Sus scrofa: one gene and its partner. The protein of the gene in region 1 interacts with the protein of each later gene in a biochemical or structural test. Links are inferred from orthologs where the notes say so. Each region holds a gene or a part of one and is shown on either strand. Other genes may lie near its edges.

The links.
Region 2: the proteins of DAB1 (region 1) and VLDLR form a complex in vitro, tested with the Homo sapiens proteins (2 studies listed by BioGRID). The link is inferred for Sus scrofa from reciprocal best matches to the Homo sapiens genes DAB1 and VLDLR.

The regions. Positions count from the first base shown.
Region 1 is NC_010448.4:155,083,244-155,087,553, reverse strand, and holds the start of DAB1 (disabled homolog 1), read right to left. Parts: upstream 2,980-4,310; coding exon 2,913-2,979; intron 1-2,912. UniProt on the Homo sapiens protein: Signaling adapter of the reelin-mediated signaling pathway, which regulates the migration and differentiation of postmitotic neurons during brain development.
Region 2 is NC_010443.5:219,206,615-219,211,037, reverse strand, and holds the start of VLDLR (very low-density lipoprotein receptor precursor), read left to right. Parts: upstream 1-1,331; coding exon 1,332-1,413; intron 1,414-4,423. UniProt on the Homo sapiens protein: Multifunctional cell surface receptor that binds VLDL and transports it into cells by endocytosis and therefore plays an important role in energy metabolism.

The DNA of each region.
Region 1 (4,310 bases):
TGGTCTAGACAAATACATCAAGAATAAAAACTGTTTATTGCTGTTGCATGCTTACAAAGAATTGTAAAATCTTGTTCTGGGACAAATCAGCTACATATCTTTAAAGATGCCCTTGAGTAAGAGAAAACAATGTGATGATTCTGATGAAGAGGAGGAGGAGGGAGGGAAATAGAGGAAAAATAGGAAAAAGAAAGGAGAGGAGGGAAAGATGGAGAAAGATGCCAAAATAGGAGATGATGAGAAGTAAGGAGAAAAGGAGGAGGGGAAAGGAAAGGGGGAGAGGAAGAGGAGGAACACAGATAAAGCTTTGTTGAGGTTTTTTCTTTTTCTTTTTTTTTTCTTTCTTTTTTTTTTTTTTTTGCTTTTTAGGGCCACACCCATGGCATATGGAGGTTCCCAGGCTAGGGATCAAATCGGAGCTGTAGCTGCCAGCCTACACCACAGCCACAGCAATGCTGGATCCAAGCTGCGTCTGCCACCTACACCACAGCTCACAGCAACACTGCATCCTTAACCCACTGAGCGAGTCCAGGGATAGAACCCCGACCTCATGGTTCCTAGTCGGGTTCATTGACCACTGAGCCACACGAGAACTCCTTGTTGAGTTTTTAATATATGCCAAGTTCTATACTAAGTTGTATTTGCCTTTTTTCAATTAATCATCCGAGTGAGCCTTTGAACTTTATAATATCATTTCCTCATTTTATAGGAAAGGAAACAAGCTCAGAGTGGTGAAGTAAAATTCTAAGGTCACCATACTTAGGAAGTGACATAGACAGAATTTGAACCCAGGTCTGGCTGTCTAGACTCCATGGTATTACCCACTCATTTGAGGACACTCCTTACATAGATATTGTGCTGATATTAGAGCTACTAAGAATGTGGAGATGAGGAAGAGTTTAAAAGGTCACCTTCATAGCCCCATTCCAAATCCTCAACCAAGTCAATGTTCCGAAAACCTGAATCCTCTATTTAAAATGTTTCTGGTTTTGCATGCTAAATTTAAGAAGGAAAAGATATGCACTAAGTACAATTTTCGATGCATTAAGCATTCAAGAGCACAAGTTTAGTGGAAAGATTAACTTTGAAGCAAGAATATAACTTGTCAGTTTCCAGTGAAAATGCATTTGAATTCCAGTACATACTGGGCTCTGCAATCTTTTTTTTTTTTAATTTTTTTCCCACGTAGCATTTCTCCCAAGACCTAGTCTATCACCCACTTGCTTTCCTTCTATTATTCTTAGACCATGATGCATAAAAAACAAGGTTTACATTAGGTTATAGGGATAAAATAGACTGCTTCGAAAATATTTGTGTTTCAAATAAACATCTGAAGCAAAATTTATAGTCCTTTCTGGGGTTCCGACTGCCCAAGAGCTGCATATGTATTACATTTATGTCCCTTTCTTCCTATGGAGTGTCAGACAGATGCCATCAGGAAACACGACTGGGCACGCACAGCAATGTCTCAAACAAATCACAGCCTCTACAAAGCAACCAATGGCATCCAGTTTTCAGGCCCAGACTGACAGATTTCATGACCTGGAAGAGAGCTCTATTAATTCTATCCCACACATTTTTTGAAGGGGAGGGAAACAGCTGAAACTGCAGGGAGAAAACACACAACACCACACATGTGCACACGCACGTGCACACACACACACACACAGAGTAAGAAGTTGCTTATCTCTAGTTATAAGGGGATAAACTTAAAGAAAGACATAGTCATAAAGCCATAGGACCAAATTCTCCAAAACCCACGAATACTGATACAATTACTTAATTATCACACCATGCATGCCAGTCTTCATTACTAAACACCTATGTGCCTCCTCTGTGTCAAGCACGTTCTTTCCTTTTTTTTTTTTTTATTTTATTTTTTTTATTTTATAGCCACACCTGCAGCATATGAAAGCTGCCAAGGGTCAAATCGGAGCTGCAGCTGCTGGCCTACACCACAGCCACTGCACCACCAGATCCGGGCCACATCTGTAACCTACACTGCATCCTTAACCCAATGAGCAAGGCTAAGGATCAAACATGCATCCTCACAAGACAGCGTCCAGTTCTTAACCCACTGAGCCACTAGAGGAACTCCCATGTGTCAAGCACTTTCTAATTGATGGGAGTTAAAAGGGTCAACAAGAGATCCAGCTCTCAAGGACTATATAGTATGGCTAACAAACACAAAGACGACATTATTAATAAAGTTAGCTACCAACAAAGTGCTAACGAAACAAAACAAACAAAGAGAAACTAATCCCATTTGGGGTTAAGGAAAGGCCTGGCCCTCCAGGAAGTCCTACTAAGCTCAAAACTAAAGAATAGGCAGAAGTCAGTCTAGGAAATAGCAGAGAGCCACAGACGGATTGAGAGTCCAGTGGTTCTCAAAGTCTGGACTCTGAACCACCAGCATCAGCATCATCTGGGAATGTGTTGTAGATGAAACTTGGGCCCTACCACAGACCCAGAGAACCCAAATTTCTGGGAATGAGACTCAGCAATCTCTGTTTTAACAAGCCTTCCAGGTGATGCTGGTGCAGGTAGAGTTTGAGAATCACTGGTATATGCAAAGAGGAACTACAAAGCACAGAATGCCCGGCGGGTGAACAGGGTTAGATGGAGATGGGGCGTGAATGCAGACACAGATGTTGCTTGGGGGGGGGATGAGTAGAAGACATGTCAAGAAGGGCTTTGTATATGCTGAAAAGAACTTTGGATTTTACCAAGAGAATTAGGAAGGACCTTTAAAATACGATACTGTGCATACAAAAAACACCCAATAATGGTGCTATTAAAACAAACAAACATAAGCAATCACAAAGATAGTCCCCCAAATGCCATTCCAGGGACCAAAAAACCTCATTCCTACACAAGAGTAGATATTAGGATAGGAACAGCTTGAGCCCTACCTTTCTTTCTGGAGTCTTTCTTGGCGCTGGTTTTCACAGCTACTTGAAGTTCTGTCTCAGTTGACATCCTACTAAATCCTTAGTCCACTTCACACAGATCCTGGGCCTCGGCCAGGCTCATTGAGGCCTCTTCTCCAAGAAAACGAGTCCTCCCTTCAGAAATGACACCGACAGCTGCACATTTCATTCAGTTCTTCCGAGCGCTGCAAATCAAGGGAAGAGAACGTTCAGAATAACCACTCGGTTAAAGGTATAGATTAGGGAGGGAAAAACATTAAGAGGGTCCATTGCCAAAGAGGATGAGAGGTCTTATTTGCAAAACTCAAACTAGGTGACACAAAGCAGGTCTTTAAAACTCTGGATTTTCAAGAAAAGCAAAACTCCACTCTTGATGTTCCATGTTTCTTACTGTCAAGTGCTAGATGCCACCCAGAAAATACAGCACGGGCATATTTCCTGAGAGGCCCCATGGAGACATTTCCAACAGCGAGGCACCCATCCATCAGCCAAGGCTGACCAGAGCCTTGGCAGCTAAAGCAGATCATAGCGAAGTGACCTGTGGTCGTTCCCTCACTGGCAGGCATCCGAGGGGACATGGCGTTGACATACAATTGGGCTCTGAGGGTAAGGTGACAAATGGGGCTGAGAAACTTCGCAGCAAGCCAATTTTGATGTCAGCTTTTCCCCCAGCTATAAGAGCAGACAAGCATTTAATGCGGGGAGGAAAAGAAAAGAAGCAGGCAGACACACATTTCATTCCTTCTATGATAAATATGCATTGCACACTACTAGGTACTATTAAGTTCAGACACTATGCTGGGAAGAGATAATCATGATAATACCACCACTTCAATTACAGCCAGTATTTACTATACATTGACTATATATGATGCCCTCAGCTCCTGCTTCACATACATTATCTCATTTGATTTCATTTAAATTGAATGAATGTAGTCCCAGTGTCAAGTCAAGGATCTTTTCCCAGGGACGGACTCTCTGATGGTTTACATGTAAGAGTCCGGCTGAAAATAAACATTTCAGGAGTTATCCATTTTTAAAGAATATTAAGATAAAGCTACTGAAAATGGATCTTCAAACCTGTGCAGCCAATTCTTAGTTCATCCCACAGATCCAGGAAACTGTTTAATCTGAAAAGGCTGATGCCAGTTTCAGCTCAAAAAGAATAATGATCAAAACCTCTTAATCGTGCCATTAAAGATAGCTTAACTACGAAGTCTAATACGAGAGCCACTTAAAGCTGGAGTAAGGGAGTTCCCGTTGTGGCTCAGTGGTAACAAACTCAACTAGTACCCATAAGGATGCAAGTTCAATCCCTGGCCTCACTCAGTGGCTAGGTTAAGAATCCAGCATCGCTGTGAGCTGCATTGTAGGTTGCAT
Region 2 (4,423 bases), on another chromosome or scaffold:
TTATTTTGTGCAATTAGCAATTAACTATAATCGTTGATGAGAGAATGTAGAGCTGCACTACTGATATCCCTCCTCCTCATCCTAGACTGGGTTATTTTAGTCGCGTTCTATTTCAGAGGACTAACCACAACCGCGCGCGCACACTCTCCTTACACATGCTCTCACTTAAAGACACAGTTAATTTTTAGCAAAAATGGCATCTCAGCGTGCGCCTAAGATGATGTGGGGCATCCCCTACCCCACATCAGAATAGCCCAAACGTTTAGACCCACTCCTCTTCATCACTTTTAGGTGGAGAGAGGAGGCCCAAGGAAGAAGCTACCTACCAGCCTCATAATAGCAGCCGTTCTTTGGGGCGCAGGAGAGGGTGGTAGAGAGATGCTTGTTGCCCCTGAAAGCTGCAAGTCCCCCACCCCCCCGCCCGGGCTGTAAGCCCCGTTAGGGGGAAGGCGGTGGCAATAGCCTCAGTGGTTGCATCAGTGCTAACTGCTGCTGCTGCTGCTGCTGCTGCATTTACTGTTGGCGACTGCCGGGAAGGTACTGTAATGACTGTAGGGAGCGCACAGCTGCTGCGGCGGCAGGTTCCCGGGATCAGGAAATTAGGGCAGGCACCGGGGATTGGAGGCGAGGGCGGCGCGCGAGCCAACCAGCGACCGCCCCGGGCCCCCGTGAGCCCCGGGCGGACGCGCTGAGCAGCCGGATCTCAGGAGCAGTCCCGGCGGCAGCGGCGGCCACGGCCACGGCCACGGCCACTCACGCTCCAGCACATACTCTCACACCCCCCAGAGCAGACACCTGGCCACCCCGAGCTTTTAAGAGGAGCTCGTAGAGTGCGAAGGAGGGCTGAGGCCGCCGCGCCCGCCCCTACCCCCGCCGCCGCCGCCCGCGCCCCGCTGACCACTCCCCCTCCTGCCCCCTCCTCGCTCCTCACCCCGCGCTCCAGCAGCCGCCAGTGTGGGTGCTCCGCGGTCGGCTTCTCTCTCTTCTGTCTTCTCGGCCCTCCTCCCCACCCCCTCTCCCTTTCTCCCCTCCTCTTCCCTCCCCTCCTCTGCAGCGCCTGCATTATTTTCTGCCCGCGGGCTCGGCTTGCACAGCCGCTGCAGCCGGGGGAGGTGGGTGGGTGGGTTGGTGGGTGGGGAGGAGATTGTGCAAGTTGTAGGGGAGGGGGTGCCCTCTTCTTCCCTGCTCCCTTTACCCCCTTCTAACTCCTTCCCCTCCTCCCCCTCCCCCTCCTCCCTCCCCGCCCCCACCTCCTTCCTCCTTTCCGAAGGGCTGGTAACTTGTTGTGCGGAGCGAGCGGCGGCGGCGGCACCACCATCCAGGCGGGCACCATGGGCACGTCCGCGCGCTGGGCGCTCTGGCTGCTGCTCGTGCTGTGCTTGGCGCCCCGAGAAAGCGGCGCCACTGGAGCGGGTGAGTGAGGACGCGCCCCTCCGCGGGCTGCCCAGACCCAGCCGAGGTGCTGGGGGCCCCCCCCCCGCCGAGGAGCGGGTCTCCTTTTGCCCACCCCCCCTCCTAGGAGGCGCCTCTCCGCTCTCGTCGCCTTCTTTCTCTCCCCACCCTGGTGGCGCCTCTGAGCTGACTGTCAGCACCTCGGCTACCGGGAGCCGGGCTGGGGGGACAGTGGGGTTTGGGGTGTCCTAAAGCCTGGCCCGAACTATCTTCATTCCCCTACACTCCCTCCCCCAAGGCCACTGCTTTGCCTCATTTTTCACCCTGCTGGGCCGGGGATGGGGAATGTGGGCTTCTGAGCCATTGAACAATGGTTCTGTCTCCTCTGCCAGGCGGAGTGTTAGGAAGGAGGCAGAGGGCCGGGTGGGCCGAGACGTGCGCGGCAGCTCCCGGCGCGCTCCTCCGACTTAAGCGAGGGTGGGAGGGGGCGGTGGATGAGGATGGGCGCCTGCGAGAACGCTGGGCGCTGGGTGCCGGCCGGGGCTAGGGTCTCCCTCGGTGGTGAGAGGGCGCGCGATCTGTGGGCTGCTGCGGGGAGTCTCCGCCGAGCGTCGAGAAGTGCGCAGCCTGCGCACCCGGACTGCGACTCCCCAGGCGCCGGGCCGTCTCTCTGGAGTGCGGGTTAGATGACTAGTGAGGCTTGAAATAGGACTCCCTCCCCCAGCTCTAGATAGTTCTCCCCTCTCCCCTTTCCACTCTCTGGGCCGCGTTTATAAACCTCTCGGGTCTCCAAGATAGCAGAACGAGGGAGGGGAGTGGAAAGAAGACTTAATCAGGTTAGTTTGCTGAGCCTCGTTCCCGGTGAGATTTCCTCGAGAGGAATCGAGTCCTAATCTAGTGACTGTAATTAGCCTTCATTCTAAACAATACATCAAAGGGAGCAGCGCGAGAACTGGGAGAGCTGGTGTGTGACTGTAGTTTGTTGGGGAGGGCGGTGGTGACTACTGTCAGGTCCCCAGGGTCTGCCGCACTGGGCCTGGGAGCCCTGTGCTCAGCCACTCTCCCACTTGGGGCCGCACAACTTTCCCAGGCAGGCGACAGGAAGCCCTTCTCAGAAGATTCCGTGAGGATCCTGGCGAGTCTCTGAATTGACCTGGAAAGGACACTGAGGGGCTGGCTCGCCAGGTCTGGGGAATTGGCAAACTGCCCCGTCCTATGTACCCATTCCAGAGACCCTAGCTCTTGTGTCCCCAGTGGCGTTGGAGGCCTGCCTGCCTGCCTGCCTGCAGTCACGTGTCTTCTGAAGTGAGAGCGAACTTTAAAGCGTCCAGGCAGCCTCTCAAGCAATACTTGGGGACTTGAGCCTCCGAAAGCCCCTTGCCCTTAGATGCCAGTTGTCCGGAGCGTGAGAAGCTGGGACGGGCTTTTCTGCGCTCTGCGATTGGCTGGCCGCCCGATCACGTTTCGGTTGGTCACATGGCTCCCAGACTCATAATTTAGCAGCCTGAGAAATGTTATCTTTAAGGGAACATAAAAAACGGACAGGCTCCAATGGACTGTTCTCTCAAATGCTTTCCCCTGCCTGTGCGCCTTGAAAAGGGCGCGTGCGTAGCAAAGATGGCCTGTGATGTGTAACAAAACTGAGAACTTGGAGTATCCCTGCTTAGGAAAGTTTTCAGACGCTAACATTAATCATTAATGGATGAGCAGTACTAACTTATTAAGCGATTTCTCAGACTAGTGCCCTGACTTGCATTACACCTTTCATATCATTTCAGAAGACTAAGATATACCAGAAACTACTGATCATTGTGCAGGAAAAAAGGAGAAAGGATTTTTTTTTTTTTTTTTTTTTTTTTGCTGTGTGTTCTCTTCATATTCTTTTTTTTTCCTGTTAAAATTTTTTCTGTTAAAATTTTTTTTATATTCTTTTAATTTAACATATAACTTTCCATTGGGGATGTCTTTGTCCTATAGAATACTAGGAATGCATCTAAATTGTAGAAGTAAGTTAGTTGAAGCCATATGTTCACCTTGTATTAGGTAGGCGAGCATGGTTTTTCTTCTCTAGTTCGTGAATGAAGTGCCATGAACAGCAGATAACAGAAGCCCATAAAAATGCTGGTCTAAAATCCTCTAGGACAGGGCAGGTGTTCTTTAGGATGCTAGCAAGGAAGTTAAATTAGGCTAACGAGAAGTTACAATTCAATAGTGGAGTATACCTGATGGTAAAAAAAAAAAATCTCTAGACGTTCTTGGGCATTTTCCTCCAACCTAAATCATCACGATTAGGATCTGGGGTACCGTATATTCATTAAGGCCAGGGCCTAGAAGAACCAAGGTTTTGTGAGAGCTATTCAAATGTGGCTAACAACCAGCAAAAAAGTAGACAAAACTTCTCCTAGTGTGGGAAGTGGGTTGGTGAAATTGGCACTACCTGGAGGCAAGGGAGACTGGAGGGTGGAGAAAAAATAAGCCTGGCTTTTCTAGATAGGCCGCAGAAAAGATGTGACAATGATCATAATCCTCATCTAGATCAAAGGATGAGCATGTGAGCAGGGACTCTTTAAAGGAGGGTTGCTCCTCAGGCCTCGGTGACAGCTGCTGGCAGTCTGAAGCAGCATGGCTCGCCAAGTCACCCCCATTGCCCACTTCACACAACATTCAACTCTATACCTGCCCTGTGTCATTTTGAGTCTTTGCTTGTATTGTTTGAATCCCCAGATATCTAAAGCATATATCAAGGTCAAGTTCAGTAGAGCTGCCAAATGTTAAGACTTTTTAGTATACAACACTGCATATTTTCATGATCGCGTCCCCCATGCTCAAAAGAAATGTTTCTGCCTTTTTAAAAACTGGATAACCATAAACTCATTTTCACTTGAGTGGTTTTGTTGCAATTCTTGAAATGGTGAAAAATAGTCACAAGCCCCTTCTATTCCAGGAGTGTCAAACTTGTTAAGACTTAACAAGTAAAACCTGGTTTAGTAGATCAAGGGAATAGAGAGCCCCAGCTGTATGGCTTCGTGTT